Drosophila melanogaster: one gene and its partners. The protein of the gene in region 2 binds, or shares a complex with, the protein of the main gene of each other region. Each region holds a gene or a part of one and is shown on either strand. Other genes may lie near its edges. The genes, in order: Nfs1, fh and bcn92.

The links.
Region 1: fh (region 2) and Nfs1 share a complex: the UniProt entries of both Drosophila melanogaster proteins name them as parts of the mitochondrial core iron-sulfur cluster (ISC) assembly complex.
Region 3: fh (region 2) and bcn92 share a complex: the UniProt entries of both Drosophila melanogaster proteins name them as parts of the mitochondrial core iron-sulfur cluster (ISC) assembly complex.

What each region holds. Positions count from the first base shown.
Region 1 is NT_033779.5:11,994,604-12,005,181, reverse strand, and holds Nfs1 (Nfs1 cysteine desulfurase), read right to left. Parts: upstream 5,529-10,578; 5' UTR 5,458-5,528; coding exon 5,328-5,457; intron 5,270-5,327; coding exon 4,011-5,269; 3' UTR 3,938-4,010; downstream 1-3,937. Other genes in the region: Hacd1 (3-hydroxyacyl-CoA dehydratase 1), read left to right, coding at 3,031-3,768; Ada1-1 (transcriptional adaptor 1-1), read right to left, coding at 7,288-7,414, 7,479-8,278; Qtzl (quetzalcoatl), read right to left, coding at 8,939-9,180, 9,239-9,368; CG18789 (uncharacterized protein), read left to right, coding at 9,865-9,941, 9,997-10,578. UniProt on the Drosophila melanogaster protein: Catalyzes the removal of elemental sulfur from cysteine to produce alanine. It supplies the inorganic sulfur for iron-sulfur (Fe-S) clusters.
Region 2 is NC_004354.4:9,141,017-9,150,817, forward strand, and holds fh (frataxin), read right to left. Parts: upstream 8,056-9,801; 5' UTR 7,997-8,055; coding exon 7,679-7,996; intron 7,610-7,678; coding exon 7,355-7,609; 3' UTR 7,064-7,354; downstream 1-7,063. Other genes in the region: CG7065 (uncharacterized protein), read left to right, coding at 1,852-3,931, 4,992-6,607; Bap111 (brahma associated protein 111kD), read left to right, coding at 8,407-9,801. UniProt on the Drosophila melanogaster protein: Promotes the biosynthesis of heme as well as the assembly and repair of iron-sulfur clusters by delivering Fe(2+) to proteins involved in these pathways.
Region 3 is NC_004354.4:2,145,057-2,155,067, forward strand, and holds bcn92 (bcn92), read right to left. Parts: upstream 4,592-10,011; 5' UTR 4,426-4,591; coding exon 4,346-4,425; intron 4,286-4,345; coding exon 4,165-4,285; intron 3,788-4,164; coding exon 3,710-3,787; 3' UTR 3,407-3,709; downstream 1-3,406. Other genes in the region: Pgd (phosphogluconate dehydrogenase), read left to right, coding at 351-358, 434-657, 2,119-3,332; wapl (wings apart-like), read right to left, coding at 5,821-6,096, 6,216-6,406, 6,467-6,555, 6,621-6,790, 6,861-7,703, 8,058-10,011. UniProt on the Drosophila melanogaster protein: Stabilizing factor of the core iron-sulfur cluster (ISC) assembly complex that regulates the stability and cysteine desulfurase activity of Nfs1 and participates in the [2Fe-2S] clusters assembly on the scaffolding protein IscU.

The DNA of each region.
Region 1 (10,578 bases), on a different chromosome or scaffold from region 2:
GAAAACTACTCAGTACACATTTAATTTGTGGGGAGCACTTAATTTGCGCCTGTTAAGCAGCTCCCGCTTGGAGCAGTAGGGTTGCTGGCGATGGAAAAAGCCAAGGCAAACATCAATAGCTGACCATACGCTCGCTGGTCAACGGCTCCACTGGCCATTTGGGGGCCATCGCCGGCAGAATTGCCGGCGGAATCTTGGAGCAGAGCCAACAAACTGGTTTCCCACCGTCGAATCGAATGCTGCTTCTTCTTTTATTTCGCCTTGGGGTTCGCATACACACACACACGCAAGGCAAATAGTTGGGTTCGCTTTTTCCCCCCCGTTTTTTTGTTCAGTTGTGGGGTATACGCTCTTTTTGTGGCTTGTGGCTGCTGCTTGCCTGTTATGATTCATGTGGGAAAACGTTGAACGCCCACAATAATGAACGCTTTTAGTCGCCGCTTCTTTGGCACGGCTGTTAGTTAATCGGCGGTGTTAGGCGATAGTTTTTTGGCGCATAAATGGGGCAAGCTGTGATTTTTGCTGCGGGCCGAGTAGAAATTTGTGCAATAAGCAAAATGACGGGCACAAAACAAAATGTCCGGCCGGAGTGGGCGCCCGCAACTTCCGCCGCGGGCGCCATCATGCAGTTCTCTATTCCCGCTCCAACGGCCATCGCCATCTTATCGCGTATGTGCCATACCATACCATTCAATACTATGCCATACCATGTACCCCATAGTGGCATAGTCGTAGAACACAAGCCGTAGCGTTTGGGGGCAATTTTCCGTTTTCTGTTGGCCTGTGATGTGAGCAAACAAAATGACTGCTCAAAATTGAGCAAAATGTTCAAGCGTTTGCAGGGGCGCGAGTGTTTGCATTAGAAATTGTGGTGTTCAAACAAACAATATTTACCTATTTTTTCCCGCCTTTCTTGCTTTTGTTTTTGTTTTTCTTCTCCAATTGCTGGGCATGTTGCACAGTGGAAACGAGAACGAGATGGCAAGAGGGGCGCGCAGGGCTCGCATTTGTGGGCGTGTATAGAGGCAATGGGTTTTCATGACTTTTTCGCCCTGGGTTTTTACATACATATTCATATGTATGGAACCCCTCACCATCAAGGTGGCGCCCTCTGTTAGCCGCTCGCCGAACCAGTCAATTTGTTTTGATTGCCCTTCGCTTTAAACAAGAATGTGTAAACGTGCACTTTGGAGCGAAAGAGAGCGATGAATTTGTTAGCTCGGCTTAAAGAGTTTCGATTATCACTAGCTTTTGCCTTAAACTGCCGCAATTTGTCAGCTTTGGCAATTTCATTGCCGGCACACACACACACACGCACACACCGGCGACCAGTCACATTGAAAACCCCTGCCATTGCGACACTAGCGTCGTCTCGCTCGCACTCTGCCGAATGCCGTTTTGCTGGCATTTGACGGCATTTCGTTGGTCTGCCCGCTCTGGGCGCCTGGTGAAAAAGAGGGAATTCACTTTTGGCGGGGTTCTCGTTTTTCCAATTTTGTCCAATCGGCCTTTGTGGGCGCTGCTCTGGGTGAATTGCCGCTCCGCCCGTCGTACGGAACGAGTCCCGTATAGCAATCGCCGCTGCTGATAAGCCAGGCGGGCGGGCATGCTGGCTATTGCTGCTGCTGATAAGGCGTCGGCTTTTTTAGGGGAGTAGTTAGTAATTTGCGTTAAATGGGCAGCACCAGCAGCAGCAGAAGCAGCAGCAAATTAATTCACAGGGTAGGCGTGGTTGCGGGCCTCCGCCCACATAAAACAAATCGTGTGCAGCAGCACGTGCCGTGTTGTGCCGTCCGGCCTAGCGGCCTTTTGCTTTCGGAACAAAAGTTCCAATTCCGATTGCGAACGAGCTGCGAATTTCGACAACGGCGACAAGCGATTCGCTCCGGCTGCCCATTAATGGAGAGCTGGGGTCGGTCCACAGGCAACACCACACACACGCGACTTGGCAGGTGGGGACGTGCACCGGTCCGTGGTGGTGGCGGACTTTTTCAGACACGTTCGGTTTTCGGTTCGGTTTCCACCAGGCGACCAGAAAGTTTAGCTGCCTTGCTGGCTCATCGCGCAAACCAGCCGTCGTTCGCTGGGAAACGTCAGCTGCCGCCTACAGTGGGCTGCTTTAAGCGAAATGTGGTTAGAAATGCAAAGCGTACAATGGGCTAGTTCTTATCAAAAAAATTGATTTCTCCACCTTGTCGTTAGCGATAAATTTTTATATGTCGGCTCATAACCACCCATTATCCATTGTTCTTAACCATGCTTTACTATACATTAAAGAAAGAATATATATGATAGGTATTAATTTTTACTATAATTAAAAATTATTATAGTTTTACTAATGATACTAAGAATATTTTCGAAGAAATATAAATTGTGTTATTATTTAGTTTATTTACTTTAATTTGTACTAACATAAGAAACGGTAATTCAGCTTTAAAGTAAGTTGATAGGATTTAAAATCATAGTTTTCAAAGAATTTTAACGTTTTGAGACTTAACTTAACTTAAGTGAAATAACTTTGCACATAAAAACGACTTAATTGCTAAGCATGCCTAATGGTTGTGGCATTGTTAACTTAGATTTGCGATCTGTGAATAGAGGAAAGGTTATAAGGCTATGCACTTTGTACCCGTTGACTTTGAAAGAATGAAGTTCATCTTTTATTTATACTCGTTGGAAAAATTGTGAATAGCAAAAAACAAAATTCAGAGAAAATAAAGGCGAATGAAATTTTATATCAAGAAATTTTAATTAAATGATTATTAATTTACAAATGATTAAATGAACAATTTTCGATATCAAAGCGTTTTTATTTATAAAAGATATTATATGGAAGGGTATTTAATAGTTATATATATTTCTTAGCCCTTTTTTTTGGTATTTTTTGTGTGGTCGCCGTGCGGTCATACTGACCCAATCAGGTGAAAGCGACTTCGGAATTATCGCGCTACAGGGCGATAAGACTGTGACGACTGATTAGTTAACCAGCGGCGATCGGCAAGGTGAAAGTTCACACATCTCCGCTCCAACATGTCAGCAAAGGCAGTGTCCAAGTCCAGCAAACCAGGCGCTTCCAAGGAGCCGTCGGCGGTCACTAAATTGTACCTGTTTGCGTACAACGCCGGCCAGGTGGTCGGATGGAGCTACATCCTGTGGCAGCTGGTCAACTACTACATATTGCAGGGTCCGGAGTTCCGTGCCCAGGTGACGTTGTGGGAGTATACTCGGCTGGCCGTGATCATCTTCCAGAATGCCGCGTTCGTGGAGATACTCAATGCTTCTTTTGGATTGGTCAAGTCGAACCCGGTGGTCACTGGCTTCCAGGTGTTCAGCCGCATGATGGTGGTCGTCGGCGTGGTGATGGCCACGCCTACTGGAAAGGTTTCACCCGGTCTGCCCATCGCCCTGCTGGCCTGGGCCATCACTGAGATCATCCGATATGGATATTACGCTCTGAACATCGTCAAGGTGGTGCCGCATTTTGTGGTGTTCCTGCGCTACACCACATTCATTGTCCTGTATCCCATCGGCGTGACTGGGGAGCTGCTGTGCTTCTGGTGGGCCCAGAGCTATGCCCGTGAGAACAGCGTGTGGAGTGTGGTGATGCCCAACAAGTGGAACGCCACCTTCTCGTATTTTGGATTCCTGTGGATCGTCATGCTCGGCTACATCCCCATCTTCCCGCAGTTGTACTTGCACATGTTCGCCCAGCGCCGTAAGATCCTGGGCGGTGGATCCAGCGGCTCACCCCAGAAGAAGGCCAACTGAACCTTGACCAGCGGCGAATGCAAATTATTGCATCATTTGCATATCATTGGCCGTCGCACTTTGAGCCGTTTTCGCTTTTTGGGGTCTCTCTTGCCTCACCTCTTACACAAGCACATTCGTTCGGACTAAGCTTAGTTATAAGTGGTTTTGTGTACAAATAAACCTAGATACTCTTCCAACAAATTTATTTTCCCTTCGCTTTCAAAGTGTGGTGTAACAGTAACGGCTTAAATATTAGTACATTAATGCTGCGACCATTGGATGGTCTTTAGGTCGATGCCCTCTTGGACCATCTCCCACAGCGGCGACATCTCGCGCAGTCGCTCCACATGCTTGATGCACTTATCGGCGGTGTAGTCCACCTCCTCGACGGTGGTAAAGCGCCCGATGCCAAAGCGTATGGAGCTGTGGGCAAGATCCTCGTCGGTGCCGATGGCACGCAGAACATAGGAGGGCTCCAGGGAGGCGGAGGTGCAGGCGGACCCACTGCTCAGGGCCACGTCCTTAAGAGCCATCAGTAGTGACTCGCCCTCGACATAGGCAAACGACAAATTCAGGCAACCATTGTATGTGGCTTTGGCATCACCATTCCTGATGACATGCGGCAAGGCACTTGAAATCCTGTCCAGCAGGCGATTGGATAGAAAGTCCACCCATTTCTTGTCGTAGTCCATCTCACGCAAAGAAAGTTCCGCAGCAGCTCCCAATCCCACGGCGAGCGGGGCTGGAACCGTTCCGCTCCTTAGGCCACGCTCCTGGCCGCCGCCACTTTGGATGGGCTCGAGGCGAACCCTCGGCCTTCGTCGGACATACAGGGCGCCTACACCCTTTGGGCCGTAGATTTTGTGGCCGGATATAGACATCAGGTCAATGTTCATGGCGTTAACGTCCAGCGGGACCTTTCCCACCGCCTGAGCGGCATCCGTGTGAAAGAATACTCGGCGAGACCGGCACAGTTTGCCAATCTCATCGACGGGTTGCCGTACGCCGATTTCGTTATTCACCGTCATAATGGACACCAGCGAGGTCTCCGATGTGATGGTTTCCTCCAGTTGCTGGAGGTCGATGAGTCCGTTGGCCAGCACTGGCAGGTACGTGACTTTAAAGCCCTCGTTCTCTAAAGCACGACAAGAGTCCAGCACGCACTTGTGCTCCGTCTGGGTGGTGATCACGTGTCGCTTCTTAGTGCCGTAGAAACGGGCAACACCCTTTACTGCGATATTATTCGACTCGGTGGCGCCGGATGTGAAGATGATCTCCTTGGGATCGGCGCCAATCAGGGTGGCCACCTGCTCGCGGGCCTTTTCTACAGCGGACTCTGTTTCCCAACCGTAGGCGTGGGTACGGGAGTGGGGATTTCCGTAGAAATTGGTCAGATAGGGGAGCATAGCGTCCAATACACGTGGGTCCATTGGAGTGGTGGCCTGGGCATCCAGGTAAAGTGGTCTACCCTCGGTCTGTTCGTTCTTTATGTTGAATCGCACCTGTCTCTCCCGGAATTCTACGAACGAATACGATTTTGGTAAGCGGTAACTGTGCATCTTGGAGGATCCGCTTACCTTTGGATGTGGCGGCTGGTTTAGCCGCTGTCCTGGAGGAGGTGGCCTCGTGTCTAACCACATTGGCTAATGCATTCGTCGCCCGGGAGCGGAGGACCTGCGCCTGGATGCGTCCCAGCACTTTTTGCATTCTGATGGAATCCTAGAAATTCTGGTGTTAAAATTCGTTATCACGGATTTCACAATCAGTGGGACCGTATTCGGCGGCACGAGATATACCAAAGGACTCCGGAATTCACTTTAAAATTATCTGATTCGATTATGCAGAAGCAAGTTTCTGAATTTCTTTGAACATATGAAAAATGAATAGCATCTGTGCAAGAAACCAATATTTTTCAGATATATTCGCACTTAATGTATAATTTACAAGGAACTATATTTTCAAAAACCAGTTTTCATCTTAAATATGTTTGCTTACAAAATTATCTTAATCATTCAGCGAACTTAAGTTACGAATTCACGAAATTGCGCGCATAGGCACGGTATATTTTTCTCAGTGAGCCATAAAATACTCAAAGAATACTCAATACGCAAAGTAAGACAATTATAAACAAAAGTACAAAAGTTGAAGCAGTTTTGAAATAATAAATATAGGAAATAGGCAAAAATTAAAATCAAATTTAAATATGGTTGTCTGCCGGTTCTTTCAACAAGGCTCCTGCCGCTATGGCGCAAAGTGCAACAACGAGCATTTCGATGTTAAGTGAGTACATTGATATTAAAACTATGCAGATGAACTAATAACTTAATTATTTTAGGCAATATCTCAAAGCCGACATGGAATCCAGCCTCAATGGCAAGATGTGGCCTTTGTCCGCCTACGGACCCTTTAAGGACAAAGCGAATTTCCCCAACTTTATTCAGGACCAATCCTTCGAGGAGGTGCGGTTCATGTGTTACGAGGCCAAACGACAAAACCAATTCGAACAGTTCAGCCAACAGTTTAACCGTGAGGTCCTAGAGGCTAACAACAAGATGAAGACCATGCTTCAGATGTCGCCGCAGGTCCTGGAAATGATGATCAAGATCCACGAGACGCCGGAGGGCGGCACTGTGTCGGCTGCCCCTCAGCAGTCCAGTAATCCCTTCGCTGCAGCAGCTCCGGCTGCCGCCAATACATCTGCATCCATTTTTGGAAAGCCCACGCTGAGTGCGGGAAATATATTTGGGAATGCCACAAGCCAAGCCAGCAACACCAATAGCATTTTCGGCGGAACGATTAGCAATGCCAATGCAAGGAATAGCATTTTTGGTGTAGGAGCTGCGGCAACAGGTGCACAAAGTGTCTTTGGACAGCCACAGCAGCAACAGCTGCAGCCTGCTGCACAAGCTTTCCAAGGGGGCAACATTTTCGCCCAGGCGCAGGTTCAGGTGCAAGCTCAGCCAGTGAATCCTAATCCTTTCGGTGGTTTCCAACAGCAGCAGCAGCAACCGCAGTCGACGGGAATCTTTGGCCAAGCCGCAAGCCAAAATATGGGCGGAATGTTTACTCAGGCTTCTCAGCAACTACAACAGCAGCAGCAGGCAGCTGCCTCCGGATTATTTGCTCAAGCAGCAGCATCTGCATTCCCTAATCAACAACAGATGCAGCAGCAGCAACAGATGCAGCAGCAGCAACAGATGCAACAGCAACAAATGCATCAGCAGCAGCAGATGCAATAGCAACAAATGCAGCAGCAACAACAATTTCAAATGCAACAGCAACAGCAAATGATGCAGCAGCAGCAGCAGCAGCAAGCTCAACCGACCAACGAAATCCAGTCCTCAGTTTACAGTCGCATGGAGGATCTCAACGAGCAGGAAATCGAAGCATTCAAGGCGGATCAATTTCTACCAGGTGCCTTGCCATTCAAACCGCCTCCACGGAATCTTTGCTGAACCAAACACTTAATGGTACACTAGCGTATAATGTATATATTTTTACAGAAGCTGATATAATAAAATAATTAGAACTTATAAGCTAATGCATCATCATATTGAGTCGTTCCATGTTTATGGAGTAGACGGCATGCGAGCCTATCAGGTTGCGATCCCGTAAGGCCAGTTGGCAGTCCTTGAGGGTGATTACTGTGCGTTCGGTGGGTTGGCTGAAAGAAACAAAACCTAAGTTTGTGTTTCACATGAAAATCTCATTATTATTCAGGAGCTTACACTTCTTCGCAGGCGGAGAGGAAGGTCACATCGTCGTTCTGTCGCCGCATAAAGTTGGCCGTATTCAGTTCCTTGTCCAGTTCCAGCGGCGTGTCGTCGACCTTCTGCCGGGTGACGGTGTTGCGCAGCGAAGGATCACGCAACGGAGCACCTACATCGTAGTAAAAGTTTCCCTCGCCGCTGGTCTTGTAGTGCTTTCGTTTCTTGATGATTGCCGATAGTAGATCCTTGAGCAGAACTTGCACGGCCATGGCAACGTACTCGGCGACATTGTCGTCCACGGAGACAAGTCCGATTTCCCAGGCACCGATCAGAAATCGTCCCATAATGAATCCCGCGTCGGGCAGGAAAAGTTCCTGCGCGCAGTACCGCTGCGACTGAAGCTGTTGCTGTTGCTGGTCCGACGGAATACCGATCGTGGTTGGCGGACGAATGATTTGCATGTTGTCCTCGGCTACAAAGTCCAGGACGTCGCTGAGCTCAAAATTAAGGCGTTCGGCGAAGGTGCGGCAACTTCTTTTGCGCCGTTTGCTTCGGTTGCCACTACTGCTGCTGGTCTGGACGGCCGGAGGATTCTCCAGGGGAGCAAAGGCGTCGATCTTGTTGAGCAGGGCGAGCAGGAACTGATTGTGCAGGTGCAGTTTGTCAGGTGTTAGGATTTTCCGCGACTCCGCATCGAATTCCTCCTTAGTCCAACGGCTCCGAAACCAATTCTTCATGTTGGCCCGGTAACGCTCCCAGTTGTCGCCCAGAGCCACCACTAGCGCCTCCTTGGTGGCCAGAACTCTGTCGGTAAGCATTTTAGTATTGGGAATAACAACTAAACAGGAAAATCCAACTGTTTGCGAATTGCTATATAAACAAATGAATGCAGCTGATTCGAGTGACCGTTCAAAGAACGGCTGAAAATACCAGATACATTTGAGATAAAAACCGTTATTTTTGAAGAACCCTTTAAAAAAATATTGGTTTTAATCTTTAGTGTTCACAGTTTTTATTGTGTACAAGTTAGTTAGTTAAAATATAAACATTAAAGATAGAGCCCACGCCATTCACACAACATAAGATGATAATATTTGCGAAGCTATTTGATCATTAAAAAAGTAATAGAATAGAATAAATATCTTGGTTAATGTTAAAAAATTTAACATAATTTAACATAAATTGTCAATACAATGAGTATTGTATATAAATGCTACGCATAAGAACATACTTAATATTGAAGGTAAACATTACACTGAAAATAACTATGGTTACATAAATATGGTATCGGATTTAGAAGGATAAGGAAAATTCTTTTAGCCTAGAAACACTCATCCTAATTGACGCGATCCCATCGCCACACGGTGCTGTCGTCGCACACGCAAACTAAAATGGAACCGTCTTTGGAGAAGGAAGTCTGTCGGATGGTGGAGTTGCTTTTGGGATGAACCAGCTGGCTACACTTTGTTAAATTGGGATCATTGCAGTCCAATTCCCAGACAAATGTTGTGCCCAGTTGATTGCCCAAGGCCAGAATCTTTTGCCAGGCGTTGAAGGCGAAGCGTACGAACCAGATTTCCGTAGAAATTGGTCAGATAGGGGAGCATAGCGTCCAATACACGTGGGTCCATTGGAGTGGTGGCCTGGGCATCCAGGTAAAGTGGTCTACCCTCGGTCTGTTCGTTCTTTATGTTGAATCGCACCTGTCTCTCCCGGAATTCTACGAACGAATACGATTTTGGTAAGCGGTAACTGTGCATCTTGGAGGATCCGCTTACCTTTGGATGTGGCGGCTGGTTTAGCCGCTGTCCTGGAGGAGGTGGCCTCGTGTCTAACCACATTGGCTAATGCATTCGTCGCCCGGGAGCGGAGGACCTGCGCCTGGATGCGTCCCAGCACTTTTTGCATTCTGATGGAATCCTAGAAATTCTGGTGTTAAAATTCGTTATCACGGATTTCACAATCAGTGGGACCGTATTCGGCGGCACGAGATATACCAAAGGACTCCGGAATTCACTTTAAAATTATCTGATTCGATTATGCAGAAGCAAGTTTCTGAATTTCTTTGAACATATGAAAAATGAATAGCATCTGTGCAAGAAACCAATATTTTTCAGATATATTCGCACTTAATGTATAATTTACAAGGAACTATATTTTCAAAAACCAGTTTTCATCTTAAATATGTTTGCTTACAAAATTATCTTAATCATTCAGCGAACTTAAGTTACGAATTCACGAAATTGCGCGCATAGGCACGGTATATTTTTCTCAGTGAGCCATAAAATACTCAAAGAATACTCAATACGCAAAGTAAGACAATTATAAACAAAAGTACAAAAGTTGAAGCAGTTTTGAAATAATAAATATAGGAAATAGGCAAAAATTAAAATCAAATTTAAATATGGTTGTCTGCCGGTTCTTTCAACAAGGCTCCTGCCGCTATGGCGCAAAGTGCAACAACGAGCATTTCGATGTTAAGTGAGTACATTGATATTAAAACTATGCAGATGAACTAATAACTTAATTATTTTAGGCAATATCTCAAAGCCGACATGGAATCCAGCCTCAATGGCAAGATGTGGCCTTTGTCCGCCTACGGACCCTTTAAGGACAAAGCGAATTTCCCCAACTTTATTCAGGACCAATCCTTCGAGGAGGTGCGGTTCATGTGTTACGAGGCCAAACGACAAAACCAATTCGAACAGTTCAGCCAACAGTTTAACCGTGAGGTCCTAGAGGCTAACAACAAGATGAAGACCATGCTTCAGATGTCGCCGCAGGTCCTGGAAATGATGATCAAGATCCACGAGACGCCGGAGGGCGGCACTGTGTCGGCTGCCCCTCAGCAGTCCAGTAATCCCTTCGCTGCAGCAGCTCCGGCTGCCGCCAATACATCTGCATCCATTTTTGGAAAGCCCACGCTGAGTGCGGGAAATATATTTGGGAATGCCACAAGCCAAGCCAGCAACACCAATAGCATTTTCGGCGGAACGATTAGCAATGCCAATGCAAGGAATAGCATTTTTGGTGTAGGAGCTGCGGCAACAGGTGCACAAAGTGTCTTTGGACAGCCACAGCAGCAACAGCTGCAGCCTGCTGCACAAGCTTTCCAAGG
Region 2 (9,801 bases):
CCACATCCCACTCCCAATCCCACTACTCGTCCTCATCCTCATCCTCATCCTCGTCCTTGGCTACATCCGCATCCACATGAAGCGCAACTTCGCCCACTGTCAAATGCACCGGGGCGGCCTTCAAAAATGGGGTGGCATATACTCACACTCGCATTCGCATTCGTATTTTATTGTCTATGTGCGCATATGGTCAGCTCATTGTGCAGTCAGTTGTATTGCCATTATCATCTGCGACAGCCATATCAGTGTGCTCATCGTGCGGCGATTAATGCGCCCTTCATCCACTCCCAGGATACGTGTTACATCTATCACACATATCGCGCACAGTGCGGCCTCGCTAGAGCGGAAATTGCCAGCCATCTGGTAAGAAATTCATGGAAAGAAATTCTAGCTACATACAGGTGCTCAGTAGAAGTATGCAAGCATATACGCTAGAATTCCCTGACTTCACATTAGGGTGGTTCCACTGCACAGCCCAGGGCGGTTGGGATGTGGGCTCGGTTCGTGGAAATCGCTGAAAATGTGAAAAACCGCGTCCCGTTCGCTGACATTTGTCCTCGGCGGCCGGCAAACCGGCAAACTGCACATGTGGCCAATCCCTTGGGACCCAATGATATTAATGCTCCCGCTTCAGCTGGAAAATACCTACATACATACATACATACAGTGAATAAAAAATAATGAACGGGAGCTGGGATTGATTTAAGCCAGCTGCGGCGACGCCATCAGAAACACATCCAACATTGAACATCCCACATCGCAGAACCAATCCATAGAAGTCCATCATTCTTGCGGCGGAGGCGAGAACAATTTGCACTCGGCCGGAGATTATGTTTCGGGTGAAAGATAATGACTCCGCATATCCACACATGTAAATATTTATGGGCTCATGAGCAGAAACACAAGAAGTGTGTGTGTTTTTTTTTTTATTTTTTGCCCAAATGACGAAAGCATGTTTTCCATGTCACACTGAAGTTAGAAAATATAAGCAAATATTCGAAATAAAAATCCATTAAATATTAACGAAATATATCCCTAACCCTAAAGGCTTTAAATTTGATTATAAAATAAAAATTCTAAACGAAATCAATATTTTACCATTACCAAAATAAGATTATTTGAATCCCGCATTGAAAAAAAAAAATTTTGGCCTTATTTGCCTTATTAAATCCACAATAGAACTAAGGACAAACCACTTTCAGTTGGAAACAGTTATTTGGAATTTTATACCATTTTTAATATTTTGAATGCAACCAAACGGAAATTGGTATAAAAAATGTGAAAGCGCGTTTAGAGCCATATTTCCATTACAGCGCTCTGAAAAAAAACAACAATACTCTATGTATGGATGTAAATATTCTGTTAATAATCATAAAAAAGAATTGGTTTTTTTTTTGTTTCACTTTTAAAAGTGCTGGCAAACAATCGATATATTCAGCTATCGTTGGCGTTGTTATCGCCCGAACGACGGACGGTCACACTGGAAAGCTGGAAAAAGAAAAGAAAATTGTCAAAAAGGCTTCGACTTGGACTCAATTTTCGTAACAAGTGATCAACGAAGCTGGTGGATGTCAAAGACGTAGATAAATAATCTAAATTACCTAACGCAGCCATAGTAAGTAACGATAAGCACGCGGGCATAAGCCGCCCCCTTTTGTCGATAAGTGAACGCGAATGCGAAACATTCGTGTGCGCAAAAAAGTGAACAAGAAAATTGGAAAATCAGAAGGCTTCGCTTTGATACGGAAATAAAGTGAGAGACAGACCAAGGTAAGTACTGATCCTAGACCATTTTCGTTCATTGGCGTTCTCTTCTTTTGGCCTGATGCCCATACCCATCTGCAGGAAACGATGAGCTTCCTGCCGGGCGAGCCGGTACCGCCCGGTTTCGAGGAGGACGTGTCCCGCACGGCGGTCATTCAAAAGCAGATCGAGAGCTACACAGCCGGACCACTGATCGGCACCGAATACACCATCGAGCTGCACGAGCCGGCCCAACTGCGTCCGAATTACTTCTGTGTGCTCTGCCAAACGTGCTCGGATGGACGCAACGTCTTTGTGCACTGGACATCGCAGGCGCACCGCACCAAGTACCTGCAAACCCATTTCCAGAAGGCCTACAAGGAGCTGCAAAAGCTAAAGCGCACGCCCAACAGCTCTGGGGATCTGGTGACTGCCACTGGGAATTTGGTCAAGTGCATTGAGAAGCATTTCGGCAGGTCACGCAATCTAATAACTGCAACTGGTGATGATTTTCGCCGTTATCGCTCCAAAATGTGCAGTCAGGTGCGGGATAGCTTTCATTTCGATGAGTGTGCCGGATCAGATTTTTCCGAAGAAGCTCAGCGCGTGATCCGCGAACTCAAACCGGATGAGTCCATCAAGAGCAGCATGAAGAAGAACGTCGACGGAACCGGGGATAGCAACAAGCAGCATGATGATGGAAATATAATTGCCTTGGATGCCATATCCAGTGATGATGAGAGCTTTGGCGGTTCAACAGCTTCGGTTGTCCCGGTGCCAAAGGGGCGACAGAAGAATAATCTGTCGGAAGATGCCGGCGGGCGTAGTAAAAATCAATCGCCACCACCTGCAGGTGGCGTGAACAAAACGCAGCATTTGCCCACGCCCAAGGAGCTGGCCATTCAGGCATCTAAAATTTCCCAGGAGCGCTACAAGTGGGAGAAGTTCCGTTGCATGCTGGAAATACAGCTCAAGCAGCTGCGCAGTGATACAGAGATGTACGAATCAAATCCCGAGAAACATCCCGATTATCCGGATGAGTGGAAACAGTTCTGGAATCGACGCTACAAGCAGCTGCAGGAGGAGAAGAAATGCGATCCGAATCAATACGACTATAAGCCGGAGTGGATTAGCTACTGGAAAGATCGTCGCATCGTACTGTTCGACATTGCGGTGAATAAAATAAAGAAAGATCTCAAAGAGAAGTTCAAGCTGGGCGACGAGGACGAAGAGAAGACCTTGGAGCTAATGGAGCGCTACAAGATCCGTGTGGCCAGTCCGCGTAGAGCGCCTGCCACCACCAATTCCGACAATTGTCGCAAAACGAAGCCGAATTTTCGCAACAATCGTCCGATTGTTGCGACAAGCAAACTACCCGACGCCGTCATCGATATCAGCGATGATGATGTTGATAGTCCTCCATCTCGTAGTCGTCACTCCCACAAACGCCGCTCCATCTCTCGTTCGTTGTCCCCCAAGCGCGGCGGACGTCGTGCCGTGCGTCGCTCACGCAGTCGTTCGCCGCGTCGCAGCTATAATCGAGGATCTACGCGCTCGCGTTCGCGCAGCATGCGACACCGGTCTCGCTCGCCGGCCCACTATCGTGGCCGCGGTCGTGGTCGTGAACCAGCATCCAAAGAGCGCGGCTCGTCGTCCAGGGATTTCGGTGGTCGTCACAGTTTGCAGCGTGAGCGCGAACGCTCTTCCGAGTACTATCACCGCAACGAGGGCTATGCTCGATCATCGCGCGGCTATGAGTCTGTGGAGACGTTCCGCGTGCTGGATTCCCGCGTATATCCCGAGTACAAAGTGACCAAGACGAGCTCGATTTCGCCCACCGCTTCGTCCAACAAGGAGAAGGAGAAGGAGGCATCGGAGCCCATTGAGGAGGGACCACTGACTGTCGTTAGTGTCTTGCGCATGCTGTCCGCCGTCGAGGAGCATCTGGGCAGCCTGGGACCCAAGGCGCTCAATTTGCTTAGCAAGGCACTGGCCATGGAGTTGGTAAAGCCAAATGCAGCTGAAGATTTGCTGCGAAACGAAGACAACTGTGTGTTCCTCGAGACCACAAAGGAGAAGCTTAAGGGCATTCTCATTGCCGAGGTACTGGACGATCCGCAAAAGGTGCGCGTGATCAAGAAACTAATCACGAACATAGCCGAAATCATCTATCAGGCGACCTTCAAAGGTAAGTCCACCACCAAACCCGCTCAATCCGTATCCGTCTCTCTCGCTCTTTTTCGCGGTCGCGGTTAGAAATCAGGAGGTAAGTAAACCAAACAAATCAAATCAAAAAAAGGGTTACCCATCGGAACAATCGTTCGTTTTTCGCGCGTTTTCAACGGCTTTTTATGCAAAGTTGCAGAGTTTATTGTGAGTTTTGTGCCATTCGGTGGAATACCTTTAGATTCTTCATTCGAAATATTTCTATTCTCCTTTTTCGAAAGGAACCTTTTTTATGTGCTGGTGATAAAGAAATATATACATATGTACATTAGATACTCCCCACTTTAGTCTACTAAACTCTGCGGTTAAACATTTAGTTACGTTTTAAGTTTAGCACCTTATGAAATAAAGAATCTTTGACTTTGGCTGTTGTATGAATTGGGATCACAATCTCATTTCACATTTCTTCTTTCTCACTAAAACATAAACGAAATCTTCTGAGCGAGTATTTTTGAAATAATACAAAATAGCGCTGTGTTTTATTACCATTTTAAACAATATTATAAGTATACATATATATATATAAAGCGTGTTCTGAATTGCTGGTCTTGTCTCTGCAATTCGTAGGATTTTTCGAATTTAAGAAACCTATTTTTAAGACCTTTACTTTGGGTTCAAAAAGGGTTAAATTGATATTAAAAAGACCTGCTTGCAATGAGAAACATAAATGGTCATAAGGTCTTCCTTCTATGTTGTATTTATGATAATATAGTAATTATATCGTATATTTGGATAGACTCTTTGGTCGAATCGCTGGTGATATCGTTCCTAATCGTTTTTCGGTAAGCTTTCCCTTATTTTTGCTGGGTGTGTGAATCAAGTGTAAAGAAACCAACCGTGAGCTGTCCAATCGCCATCCACACCATCCATAAGTATAAATGTAATTTGCGTAGCTTCGTGCGATAACGATCCTCCATCTGCCGGGATCTGAAACAGAAACACACTCTCACCTGTTAATCCTAACTGATTGATTTCTTTGTGTTGTTCCCTCCCCAAACCACCCGTAACCGGATGATCTCTAGGTACCAACGATGCCGTCGATGTCAAGGTTAAGGCAAATGCCAATCCGGCGCCCATACAGCTGCCCTTCGATCGCAATTTGGTGGCGCCCAAATTGGCCAATGCTTTGGTACTCAACGGCTACAATAATGTGTCCACCGGCGATATGAACAACTTGCTACACATGCTAACGCTGCTGATGAAGACGGACAAACAGCGGCGCCAGCTGGACAACAACAACGGCCTGAAATTCGAGGAGATAAAGGTAAAGCTCGGACTGCAAAATAATCCGTCGCCCGATGACATGGGCATCGATCTGGACGAGCTGATGAAGGAGGTGGAGCATCAGCTGCACAAGGAGTCCGTCGATATTGTGAATAAACCTACGGGAGCACCGGCCAAGGTACAAGCCGCCGATACAGTCGGTGGCAGCACTGGCTTGGAATCGCTAACAGATTCAGATCTCCAGACCCTACTCCAGAACTTTAAGTTTTTGTCGAACGAGGAGCAGGTTCATCTCATTGGCCATCTGCGCAAGTTGGAGGTACAGGATCCGTCGCGCGTCGATCGTCTGCGCAAGTATGTGAATCTGGTGGAGCTCCGAGGCGATGGCGAGTCCTGCAGTGATTTCCTGGCGCGCGTGGTGAAAATTGGTGGGGCTAGCAAGGCGAAACCGGCTACCAAGTTCAAGGCTTCGGTTATGGGTGGTAGAACCTCCTCCGCCATGGCCGCCAGCTCCGCCAGTGCCACGGCTCCGAAAGTGGGTCACTCCATGCTGAGCGCTCAGCGCCCCAATTTGGATCGTGATATGTCCAGTATGCCCATCAATAAGCAGAGACGCGGCCGGAACACGCCCAGTATCATGCTCGATGACGATGACGAGGAAGATGATGATTACAACTTTGATGATTTGGTGATGAAGGCCTGCGATTCGAATGGAAGTGCTAGTGCTGGTGGTGGTGGTGGTGTCGTTGGTGCTGGTGTACACAATAAGCCAGGAGTGCCGCCCATTATAGGCGTTGAATCATCGCCAAATGCGCTCACTTTCAAGCCAGCAGCAGCGACCAAGATTTCGCTAAAAGACACCGAGAACATCATAGCCAATCTAATGGGCACTTTAAGCAAGAATGGCACTTCTGGAGGTTCACCCGTGGGTGGCAATCGCAACTATATGATGAACCAGCAGCATGGAGCGCCAAATGCGCAGAATGCACCGAATTTGGGTCAGAATCCAGGCCAAAATCTTGGCCAAAAGCAGCCCGGAGCGGGCTATTCCAATGCGGGCTATCCAGGGCAACAGCAGCAGCAGCAGCAGCAGCAGCAGCATGGCCGCAACTTTGGCCAGGAGGCACAGCCACTGATGAGCGGCTTGAGCGGCGGACCGAATGCCAATCACTATCCAAATCAGCAGGGCTACGGCGGCTATCATCCGTTTGCGGGCAATGGCGTGCAGCAGAACTACGGCGGCATGGTGCCACCAGGTCCAGGTGGCTACGTGGGTCCGCCCCCTAATCCGTGGGCCAGCAATGTGCCGCCACAGCCGCCCTTCAACCAGATGCCCCAGAACTTTATGGGTGCCCAGCAGCAGCAGCAGCAGCAGCAGCCGCACTTTAACAACATGTTCGGTGGACGTCACTAGAGTGTCGTAGACTTAGATATCCATACTATTAACGTTATGCAATTTAAACGTAATGTAGAAACGAGAATAACGCCCTTTGAAGTGCCCGTGTATCTGCTAGCTGGCAAGTGATTTTTATTATTTTTTTTTTTACCATACATGTGTGCTGCTGCCAAAAAAAAGAAAAGAAAATAATCACTACCTTCATTTGTTTATAAAACACCGAACAACAATAGAATTCAGAAAACATAAATCTGAAGAGCACGTGAATAAACATACACAATAATTCCGGAAATCAACTTTAATCGACTTTCGTTTGGAATTATTAGCTGGGGGAGCTTTGAGTTCTGAATTCTGTGTATTGAAATAAAAATAAACGAAATGGAACGTACAAGTGACAAATAATAAAATAAAATAAAATATGTATAGCTACATATGATGTTCTTCAATGGTGATTTGATTATTATTATTTGATTTATACATTAAACAACTGATTTTTAAGTTTATTCCTCTCAAAAACAACAAATTTAAACTTCGAAACCAAAACTAATCGTACATAAATGAATAAGCGAATGCAAAGCATTTATACCAGAAGCTAAGCTTCACAGCTCCAGGGAAGTATAAGTATATACCTTTGCTCATCCGCAGCAGCAGCAGTTCCATGTATATCGAGTGACCACTGTGCCAACAGATGAAGAACAATAAATATATCAAAATCGAACGTTTCAACCGACTTTTTATGGAGGAGAATTTAAACTAATCACGGAATTAACTACAGTAGGGCAGGCGTAGGAAGTCCACGGACTGTGACTTCAGTATGCCGGGTATCTCCTGCTGCAACAGTTCGTGCAGCGACTGACCACTGTGCTTGTAGATCCATCTGCCCGCCGCCACAGTGCCGACGAAATCGTATCGCTTGGGACCGCTGGTGGGCGAACTGAGCCAGATCTGCTTGTTGGGCGTCTGCCGGTTGATCACATAGGTGCCGTGTTGTCCTCCCAGGTTCACGGTTAGCACGCCATCCTGTGGAAGCGGAAACCCCGCGAGGATTAGCAGGTCAATGGAATGATGTAATAGCCGAATGTCACCTACGCTGTAAGCCACATCCGTGCCCTGCAGCTCGGAGGCGTTCTCCGTCAGCTCCTCGAAGTAGTCGCACAGTGCGTCCAGGGTGTCGGAGCACACACGCTCGTAGGTGGCGCCGTCCAATGTGGATTCCGTCTCAATTTGACTGCTAAACAATCGCCGGTTGGCAGTGAATTCCTCGCATTGAATAGCAACTGCGGCTATCGCTGGTGTGCTGGGCAGGATCACTTGGCTGGCGTGTGCTTGGGGCTTTGACCACCTGCCCATGGTGGCCAAGCATGCCCGACCAACGATCGAACGGACCATCAAACGACCGGCAAACATTTTTTAGTTGTTTACGATTTGTTTATATTTTACAAATCCCAGTTGCGGGGCTGCCAACTTAATGGAAAATGATTTGCCGTTGGTATTTTCTAGATTCTAGTGTGGTATAATTTTTGATTTCTATAAAGCTGAATAAAAATGAGAAGTTACAGATTTTTTTTATTAGTAGCAGCAATTCAGCTAAAGTGTTCTGCTAGTTTTAGGTAACTAAAATTTTGTATATTCTCTAGCAGTTACTATTTCCTTATCATATATATTCCGCTATATATACCAATTCCCGGCTTATATGATTTTTCTTAGAATCAGATACGGCCACACCTCCACCAACGCCGACAGAAAATGGCGTCTGTCTGAAAATTGTTATTTCTCTTGGAAAATCCATACAAATTTGACCAGCGAATTGCACAAAGATGGCCCTGCCAAGCAACTACAAGCAGATAGCCGTTGGCGGCCAGGGATCGGCCACACCACTCCAGGGCGGCGGCGGTGGCTCCGGCGGCGGCAGCCGGTCGCGTTCATCCGGCGGCGGAGGTGGTGGCGATCGCAACAAGGATCAGACGCCCATCTTCACGCACAGCAACTATGGGAATCCGGCATTCACGCCACAGAAGGTAACCAAGTCGTCGAGCAGCAAGAACCAGAACGAATCAAGGCTACCCAAGCCACCAAAGCCGCCGGAGAAGCCCATTTTGCCCTACATGCGGTATTCGAAACGCGTCTGGGATAGCGTCAAGGCGAAGCATCCAGAGCTGAAGCTGTGGGAGCTGGGTAAGAAGATCGGTGCCATGTGGAAGTTGCTGCCCGAGGATGAGAAGACGGAGTTCATTGACGAATACGAGGCGGAGAAGCTGGAGTACGAGAAATCGCTAAAGGCCTACCACCAGACGCCCGCCTATCAGGCCTACATGTCGGCCAAGAGCAAGGTGAAGACCGACGTGGATATGCATGAGACACCGTCACGCGGTGGCGGCAGTAAGTCGCAGCATGAGCGACGCATCGACATTCAGCCGGCGGAGGACGAGGATGACCAGGACGAAGGGTATACGACCAAGCACTTGGCCTACGCCCGCTATCTGCACAACCATCGCCTGATTAACGAGATATTCTCGGAGGCCGTTGTACCAGATGTGCGTTCAGTGGTGACCACCACGCGGATGCAGGTGCTCAAGCGGCAGGTCAGCTCGTTGACGATGCACCAGACCAAACTTGAGGCGGAACTGCAGCAGATGGAGGAGAAGTTCGAGGCCAAGAAGCAGCGCATGGTGGAGTCCAGCGAAGCCTTCCAGGAGGAGCTAAAGCGCCACTGCAAGCCGGCGGTCGACGAGGAAACTTTCCAGAAGATGGTGCTTCGCATGTACGAGGACATCAAGCGCGATCGCCAGCGATTGGATGAACCGAATGCGAATGCGAATAGCGCAGCGAATCCTGCTGCAGCTGCCGCTACAGCTGCCGCCGCTCCAGTGACGAGGAGCGAGGAGGCAGTGAAGCCGCCAACGCAGCCAGGTCAGCCCGCTGCCACACCCGCTGGCCAAGAGCCGGCGTCGGCGGTACCAGCGCCAGCAGCTCCGCCCAAGGAGACACCGCCGGCTGTGAAGCCCGCTACACTCAATCCCACACCGAGTTCAACGCCTACGCCGGCGCCAGCGGTGCACGTGCACGAAACTGCCAGCAAAACGGATCCCGAGCCCATGGACATTGAGCCACCGCCGAAGCCATCGGTTCCGCCGCCACCCATCAAGCCAGAGAAGCTGGAGATGGCCGCTGCCCTGCCTCCGCAGTCAACGCTAGTCGAGCCACCCAAAACG
Region 3 (10,011 bases), 7.0 Mb from region 2:
CACATTATAGGTACTCGGAGGTAATAATAGAAAAAACACTATCTTTGCATTTACTGTTACACTACGAAGCACTATATTTAGTAGCAGTACTCATTAGAGTCCACTCACAAAATTAGCACCAACCGGCAGTAATTGGTCAAGGATCGGCGATAGCTTCAAACTCCGAAGTTCAAAGTCAAACTGCCGCCCTGCGAAAGCTTCGCGAGTGGAGCTTTTCTGCACTTATCGATAGCTAACATTGTGGCGCGACTATCGATCGACGAGCTGCCGCTTAACAGTGCCATATATAGATTGTAACATTAGAAGCTCAAATCATTGTTGGAGCACAAACCACAAAGAACACACGAAACATGAGCGGGTGAGTAGAGGGAAATTCTCTTTTCCCCGGAGTTTTCCGCGATCCTAACGTCGCCCATTTCCGGATTTCTTCCAGACAAGCGGATATTGCCCTCATCGGCCTGGCCGTCATGGGCCAAAACCTGATACTCAACATGGACGAGAAGGGATTCGTGGTGTGCGCCTACAACCGCACGGTGGCCAAGGTCAAGGAGTTCCTCGCCAATGAGGCTAAGGACACCAAAGTGATTGGAGCCGACTCGCTCGAGGACATGGTCTCCAAGCTGAAGAGCCCCCGGAAGGTCATGCTGCTGGTCAAGGGTGAGTTGCATATCCAAATTCAGCGGCTGGGTAGCGCAGAGCATCGAAAACCCATTGAAACCTGCTGCAAGCGATCGCTGTGTTGGTGACTCAACTTACATGTGTGCGCGCGTGCTTGTGAATTGGTGAAAAAGTCGAAGCAAAGTAATCATGATGACGATTTTTGCGGCTCATATTCCAATGTGCAAAGGGGAACGAGATAGGATAAGCAGGTGGAAGTAGGAAGAGGAGGGAGCGCGAGAAAACGGTGAAGGGGTGGAGTAAACACAAAAAACAACTGTTTAGAGATCATTGAGCTGCGGCCTTAACCACTAAGTCTGGGTTAGGAGTTCTTTTTGTACAAATGATAGGGATGGCATTTCGTAGGTTTTGTATGCGATAGTTTTGACTTGAAAACTAGACAGAATTCAAAGCTCTTTATAGGATTCGAAACTTAAGCATTGTAGCTCTTTTAAAACCGGACTTCTGATAAAAGGTTTATAAATGGATCAGTCCCATTTCGAAAACCGTAACCACAAGTGTGGCGTGAGTTTTGTCTAATCACATAGTTGTGGTAAGCTGCCTCCACTTACCTAAACCATCGAGCGAACCCATCAGGTGATTTCCAGGTCACTCACGCGTTCGTCTACCACTCTCGCGTGTCCGAAACTCTGCTCACCTCTAGATCGGCGTGCCCGGCTTATCTGTTCGTGCGAAAGCAACAACAACGCGGCGCAGAGAGAAATCTTTGACATTCATAATAGGTCACACAAAATGGGCGATTTTCAGGTGGATTTACTCGGATTTGACCAGCCGAAAAACCTACATATTCCTCTTCTGCGAGTTGCCAGGCCAGTGAGTCATTTCGTCTGGAGACTGCTCCTTAGAAGAATACAGTGCGGGTCAATAACATATGTACATAGCTCTGGAGGTTTTTGTGCTGAACATATGTAGATTTGAAAGTTGCGTGACAGGTTGTGCGAATCCCACATTCACAGGGTGGGTGGGAGTAAGGACAAAGGTTATTGATTATCAGTGTAGTTAAGTTATCAAGGATGACGACACAAAAAGCTAGTTGGTCATTGAACAGAGCGAGTCCAACAATCTTGACCGCTAGTGTGCCCCACAAACCACCACCAACGACCGCTAGATAGATAGATCAATGGTAGTATCGCCACGACTCGTTGGCCTTATCTGGGTCCACTGCGCTGGAGAACTGCTCACCCGGCGCTAGGGACGCCTCGCCACCAGGGTGACCTCCAAAACAGTGACTTTCCAAAAGCAACCAACCGACCTTGTCCAATCGCACGCTCTACTTTCTGGCTAAATCGAAGATTTCTTTACGTTAAAAGAACTGGCGCTAGCTAAGAACGCTTTGGAAAATGAGTCTACGATAGTTGAGCTTTTGAGAACCCCGATGAGGAATTCGATCTGCTTTAATCGACTTTACGCTAATCAGATGTAATCTCGATACAATTTCAGCTGGAAGTGCAGTCGACGACTTCATCCAGCAGCTGGTGCCGCTGCTTTCCGCCGGCGATGTGATCATCGATGGTGGCAACTCGGAGTATCAGGACACATCTCGCCGCTGCGACGAGTTAGCCAAACTTGGCCTGCTCTTCGTCGGATCCGGCGTGAGCGGTGGCGAGGAGGGCGCCCGCCACGGACCCTCGCTGATGCCCGGCGGACACGAGGCCGCGTGGCCCCTTATCCAACCCATCTTCCAGGCGATCTGCGCCAAGGCCGACGGTGAACCCTGCTGCGAGTGGGTGGGCGATGGAGGCGCCGGTCACTTCGTCAAGATGGTGCACAACGGCATCGAATACGGTGACATGCAGCTGATCTGCGAGGCGTACCACATCATGCAGAGCCTGGGACTGTCGGCTGACCAGATGGCAGACGAGTTCGGCAAGTGGAACTCGGCCGAACTGGACTCCTTCCTCATTGAAATCACGCGTGATATTCTTAAGTACAAGGACGGCAAAGGTTATCTGCTGGAGCGGATTCGCGATACCGCCGGCCAGAAGGGCACGGGCAAGTGGACGGCAATCGCTGCTCTGCAGTATGGAGTGCCTGTGACGCTAATTGGCGAGGCGGTCTTCTCGCGATGCCTGTCTGCCCTGAAGGACGAGCGCGTCCAGGCCAGCAGCGTGCTGAAGGGACCCTCGACCAAGGCGCAAGTGGCCAACCTCACCAAGTTCCTCGACGACATCAAGCACGCTCTCTACTGCGCCAAGATCGTGTCCTACGCCCAGGGATTCATGCTCATGCGAGAGGCGGCCAGGGAGAACAAGTGGAGACTTAATTACGGCGGCATTGCGCTGATGTGGCGCGGCGGCTGCATCATCCGCAGCGTCTTTCTGGGCAACATTAAGGACGCGTATACGTCGCAGCCGGAGCTGTCTAATCTGCTGCTGGACGACTTCTTCAAGAAGGCCATCGAGCGCGGCCAGGACTCGTGGCGCGAGGTGGTGGCCAATGCCTTCCGCTGGGGCATTCCCGTGCCGGCCCTGTCTACCGCCCTAAGCTTCTACGACGGCTACCGCACGGCCAAGCTGCCAGCCAACTTGCTGCAGGCCCAGAGGGATTACTTCGGCGCCCACACCTATGAGCTGCTGGGCCAGGAGGGTCAGTTCCACCACACGAACTGGACAGGCACCGGCGGCAATGTGTCCGCCAGCACCTACCAGGCGTAGGTTCCACCTGCTCCACTTTCCCGTTCACACATTCCATGTCATTGGCGCCGGTGTCTTAGATGTTTCTTTTTTTTCTGGAGTACTTTAGTACTTATTTATACCATTAATATATATGTATGTATATAGAATTTCATAATTGTTGTTAAACATAACATTAAATTGGTGTTTTTTTGCTAGCAAATGATTTTGATTCCTTAGTTTCATGAATGCAAGTGCCATTTAAAATCAACAATGCGTGTGGTTTGGTGTGTTGTGTTGTGTGTGGGTCGAGTCTTTCGAGTTGTGTCTTCATCTGGAGACGCCTCCTGCTCCTTCTACCGCTCCTTCCCTGCTATTGTACTCTCTTCAGCTAGCGCGTTTTTCGCTCCGTATTTCCCTTAGTCGTCCGAGGGCTTCAGGGTCTTCTTGTTCTCTATAACCAGTTTGTCAGCGGAATACAGGTGGCCGATGATTACCTGTGGACATTCAAAGGTTAATAAACTCAACCGGCTGATAAGCGAAAAAGGGGCAAAATGGTTACTTTCGATTTCTAATAGGATGGTAATTGAGTTTTCCATTCCCCATATTTGCAAAATCAGATATATATGATAAAATCTACTTTAAATATACATTAATATTTTTAATCTTTAAATTGATTGTCTTTGATAAGGGAAGTAGTAGTTGATAGTAGTATTTTTATACCACTAATTATTTGAGTTCCTAACAACTTGGTAAATAAACGACGGCTCTTTTTGGATGCGCTGTGATCTCGAAGACGGAATGCCTTACGTTATCTGGATACTTTCAAGCATTGCTGATAAGGGAGAGGGGTGAAATCCGACGAACCACTCACCTGGCGACGTATCAGCTCCAGATTCTGTTGGCCCTCGGCCATTTGGCGATCGATCTCCGCGAAGTCCCTGGTGCTCCTGTTGGCGCGGAATGTGTCGCGTATTTTTCGGGCAGCGTACATTCTGAAATCCGGAATAGATTGCTCATCACTCGCGGCGGCCTTTCAATTTCACAACACCTACCTGAAGTTGTACGAGGGCAGCTTCTCCGATTCGCGCAGGAGATTCCTGTATAACGTGATCGCCTGGCGACGGGTCGACATCCTGGTCTTGATCCTGGCCGAATGGAACTGAATGGCGGGCGGGCTGGTGGATTAAAGTGCTGTTTAATTGATGAGTGCTTTGTTTTGACCCTGGTTTCTTGTTTCGGTGCGGCAACTGCCAATTGACCGCCTGATGACATAAAAATTACATGCGGAAAGCCGGAAAATACTGACTTTTCCGCTGCAAAATACCAGAAACAGCTGACTGCATTCACTGTGGTGTCACGTGCGTGAGTCTTAGAGATGACACTGCGTCGTGCGGAAATCATCGCAACTGAATAAAAAAACTATTTTTGTGATACTAAATATTATTGCAAAAAGTAAGAAATAAATTGAGTTCATAGTGCAGAAAAATAATTTATTAAGAATCCGAAATATTTAGAGGTAAATATTAAAATAAAAACCAAATTAACCTGCTCCCATTATACAAAATAAGACAACTGCCGCATTTTTTCAATTTTAGTTTTAATTCTGTTTGTTTTTTCCGCAAGAACAATATATTATGTACTCGTTGAAAACACAAAATAAATATATATATTTTGTTCCCGAAATTGTTTCTTTCTTGCACGCGCGCTTGCTTTTTAAATCTGACTTTTGTAGCCTAAAAATGACATTTTTAGTGGTTGTAAACGTACACATATATCCATATACATATATATATTTATTTATCAGTGTTAGTTTTATAAGTAGAGTTTCTTTAGCTTACGTTTAGGCAATAAAATAACTTTATTTCCCACATCTAATCTAGAATTTTCCTCTCTAACTCTCTCTTTACACATGTCTATCGCTCTCGCTCTTTCTGCTGCAGCGTTTTTGCTAAGAGCGCTTGTTTTACAATCAATAAAAAAAAGGTTTAATATATAAAGTATGAATAGGTAAAAAAAAAACACATTCGAAATAAACCTAAGACGCGTCCGATAAAATCGCTGATTAAAGAATATTTACATGGGTGTGTGCTTTCGAGGGTAAGCCGACATTTAGCTGCTAATATTGCTTATGACTATATAACGTACTCATATTAGTGGGGATTTGGATCTTTGTGTTGTTCGGGGTGTCGCTTTCGTTTCGTCAATCTTAATCATTTTCTTTAGTTAAAACGCAGACCATGCTCAGGAATTCGCTATCACTTTGGGTTAATACAAACGCAAAAACAGATCGCATTGTATCCTATCGCTCTTAGCTATATACTTCTATATATATATATATCTATATATATATAGCTGACTGAAACTAGGTGCATTACAGGCTATACACATACATGTAGTGATTGTTATATCAACACATAAACAAATTACATAATCACAAACAACAGAATTTTATTTTGGTGGCAGGCTTTCGGTGTGGTTAACGACAATTGCGATGGCTCTTCGATTCCGATTCAGATCCCAGGTCCGATTACCTGTGGCTGCTGTACGTTTTATAGACCCGCGGCGCCCTCGTCGTTCCTGTGGCCGATGTGGATGAGGGTGCGGAGCCAGAGCCGACCGTGGTCGAGCTTGTAGCAGCATGCGACGCGTCCGCTCCCACGGCCAAGACTTGCGCCGTCGTTTCCAGATTCAGAGGCAGGGGGTTGTCGTGCTCATCCGAGTGCTCGTAGATGTAGTCGCGCTTCTTAAAGTTGTCGATGATGCGCTTCGTGGACTTCATATGCGCCACAAAGGCTGCCTCCAACTATACAAATGGTGGAGAACGTTAACGAGTTAGAAGGTTGTGCAGTTTGATGGATTAAGGGTAAGATGGATTAAGCTATCGATCTGAACTGAAAATGTATGACATATTATGAGACTCACGCTGGATGTAAGGTTCATGAATGTGTGGTACTTCTCCAGCACTCCAATAATCTCCTTAAAGCTATTTCCTCGCAGCTGGCGGCGCACCACCGACTCGTACAACTCGTTGTCCGCTATCAGATTTCCCACCAGGATGGCCGCATAACTTCCCTTTAGCGTGTGCTCCATGTGGTGGCCGGCTCGTTGCACAACTGTCAAAACCGCCCGGCAATTAGCATAGGTCACAGATCATCAAACCGCTAAATACTCACGATTGTTGACTGTCTCCTCCACTTCTTCTTGTTTCTTCTTTCCCTTCTCGTTGCTCTCGAGGAAGGCGTCCGTGTTCTTTTCCACCAATCTGCGGGCGTGAAACATAATATAAAGCAATGCGACAATGTGACTAGAATTGTTAATGTGTCCTACCTAGCCAGCTCCTCGCACTTGTAGAAGTACTCAAGCAGAGCTTGCAGTGCACTCACAGATCCCTGCGCTGGTGGATTATCCGCTACGTACTCTGCCGGAGCGGCAGCTTGCATTAGAGCAGCCCGGTTGGGCACAGTATGCATGCACAAATTGATTAGCAGTGTAAGAACCTGGAGAGGTGGGAATCAGTGTTTGAAATTGGTTACTTGTGAAGCGAAAAGATATAAATCTCACACTCACCAGTATGCTTAGCTCAAAGACACATTGGTCGGGAATGTAGTTGGCCGAGAGCAGCAGCAATCGGAAGCTCGTCTCCACCACATCGCCCCTTTGACCTAGCAGCTCGGCTCCCAACGATGGCTGCGCCTCGTTGAACGTGTGCGTCAGGTTGATCAGTACCTTGAGCACCGGCACCAGCAGCTCGCGCATAGCCACACCCGGATGCTCCTTGTTGCTGCCACCACCATCCGAAGGATGCAGCATTATTTGTCGGCTGCAAAGACGGTACAGTTGGCAAAGCGTCTCCACTGCTTTTCCCTGGCCAGAGGTGAGCATGTAGCGCTGGTTCGTCTCATTGTGCTGCGTCACGTTTTCGAGGACTCGCAGACAACGCGCCACCGTTTGCATGTTATCCAGCAGCGTCGGCTGCCAGTCAATCTCCGTGTCGCAGGCAATCACCGGTCTGCAGAAGTCCGAGATGGTCTTGATAATGTGCTCCAGGCCACCCAGCTTGCGCAGATCCTCTTTAAACCACTCGCCCGCGCGCTTGGATGTTAGCGATAGCAGCGTTTCCATTGCCAGCGTGCCCACAGTCAGAGAATCAACGTTGAGATGCGTTCCCTTGCCCTGCGCCTTGATCTCCTCGCACAACTCGCGCACCTTCTGCTTGTTGCGGTCGTAGCCCGCTCTATCCGGGTGCCCAGTCTCCGTGCTGCCACCCACGCCGTCCGCCTCCAGAAGGTTGATCATCAGCTCCAAGGAGTCGCGATCCAGGTCCATGTTGAGGCCCTCCTGGGAAAGAATGTACATGATGGCCGAGGTGCACAGGCCTAGGCTGAGGTCCTTGTTGGCGTCGGATAATGCCTACAGTTAAATAGTCAGTTAATTAACAAAGAGGTTGATACTTTTCCTAAAACTTTTTTTTTTGTTATTCACTTTGCAAATAATCAATAAACTGTACTGATTTAAAGTGGAAAACATTACCAAGTTGATTAAAGTACAACTGCAATGGTTTAATAGTTTATACAGGCTTTTAATACAGAATAACAAAATAACAACACAGCTTTCAAAACAAACTGGCTATTCTGGGGACAGCTTTGCCGAAAGCTGATATTTTGAATTTGATAAGATTCAATTGCATAATCAAACTATGCAAATACCAAGCGCCCAAAGGCGGTTTGGAGCTCAATATATGTAAGAATTGGGGATCTAACTTACCTTGAAAAATTTGGTGACCACCCCATGGGCACGCACGTGCATCCGGAAGGCGGGCATCATACACTTGGCGGCTAGCTGAAGGGCGGAGAGACACCGTGTTGCCGGGGGATTGTGCGGCTGAAGTGCGTCCAGGATGTACTCGACGTCGTCGTCCATTTCCTGGTACTCGCCGATCTCCTGAATTTGATGGGCCGTCTTAACGTTACGCACCACTGGATAGTAGTCCTTAGTTTTGCGGTCGACCCGAACGGGGCCGCCACCGCCCGTCGCTCCACCTCCGCCTGTCGTTGCCCCTGTTCCACCAGCGGAAGCACCAGCTGCACTACGCTCTAGGTCAAGCTCTCCGGCAATTGGTTCCAAATCCAGGTCAAAGGCATCGGAACTAGTGGAGGTGGCAGGTACTCCCTGTTTTCCCGCCAGTCGCGAGATCTTTCCGAGGGCCGGGCTATCGCCGCGCAACGTGGATGCGCTGCTGCACGCACTGGAGGAGCCATTGTTGTTCGACGACGGACTGTCACCGAAATCACCATCGGACTTGCCCGCCGCTAAATGATGCAGATGATCCTTCGCCCCAGCGACGCCCACGCCAGATGCCGAGGCATTGCTGGCATCGCTGTTGGTTCCACCGCCATTCGCTTCTAGCGCAGCATCCCAACTGTGCTTGTACAGATGTCGCTTGGCCACTGTAGCCTGTTCCGCTTGATCGGATGGCACCAGAGCGCGGCTTTTGAAGATGCTGCCTTTCTTCTTTGAGATGACCAGCTTGACAGCGCCCCGCTGTTCGCCAGAGGACTCAGGTGGCGCCGCCGCTGCTGCTCCTCCCGCTCCGGCGTTCGCCGCGCCCTGTGTGTCCAGTGTCAATGTTCGCTTAAACTTATCCTTAAACTTGAAATCGCGGGGTGGGGGCGAGGAGGAGGACCCATCGTGCTGCAACGAGGAGTTGTTTGAGTTGTTCGACAGTTCATCCGGATCAGGATCCGGATCATGGTCTGGCGAATGTTCCCTGTGATCTGTGTGCGGAATCTTGGCGGGTGTGGGCTGCTCCTCCTCAGCATCAGGAGTTTCCTGCTCTTCGGGCACTGGCTCCTGCTGTAGCACCTGCGTTACCTGCTGGTTCTTTCGTTTCCGACCATAGCTTCGTGCCGCTCCACCCGCGACTCCGCCTTCTGCTAGTCGGCTGGCCTCGGCCTTGGCTGACAAATTGGCGGCTATTTTATTAATGTTATTGTTAACGCTTGCCAAATTATTGTTATTGGCTCGGGCAGCAGCATTGCGACCTCTCCTCGGTGGAAGTGTGGCCTGTTCCAGCTGTTCCTCGTTCGCTGGCACCGTCGTCATCGCCGTTTCGTCCACTTCCATGTCGACTTCCTGCTCGGCCTTTCTGGAGCCCCGGGTGCCCCGCGTGTTTCTTTTGCCCGTTGGTGGCGATATGGCAGCCGTGGTCGCATCTGCTCCTTTGGCCCTACCTCGGGTTCTGGTCTCCGTGGCGGGTGGGGTTACATCCACATTGTTATTGGCCTTTCTGCCCCTGCCACGCGTGGCCCTCTTCGGCTGTTGCTGTTGATCCTCCTCCTCGGTTGGCTCCGGGTCCGTATTGCCATTTAGCCGTGGCACTTCCCCTCGCAGCACAGCCAGTATGTCCTCCTGCAGTGGTGTCTCCGGCACTGCAGATGCTGCTCCCGTTCCCGCTCCGTCGATGGTCATCATCATGGACTCCAGTCGTGACTCAATGTCCGAGGGGGGAGCCACCAGCGAGGAGTGCTGACTCGTCTCTAGATCACTGGTGATCACACTAGATCCCCTGCTGCGAATCACACAACTATCCTCCTGCACAGCCTGCGCTAACAGTTGCGGCGTGCTGTTGCCCTTCGAGGAGATGCTGCCCAGCACCGAGGACTGCGAGTCGAAGTCGTGATCGGATCGAGTGGTTGGTGATATGACCGCGGAGCCTCGC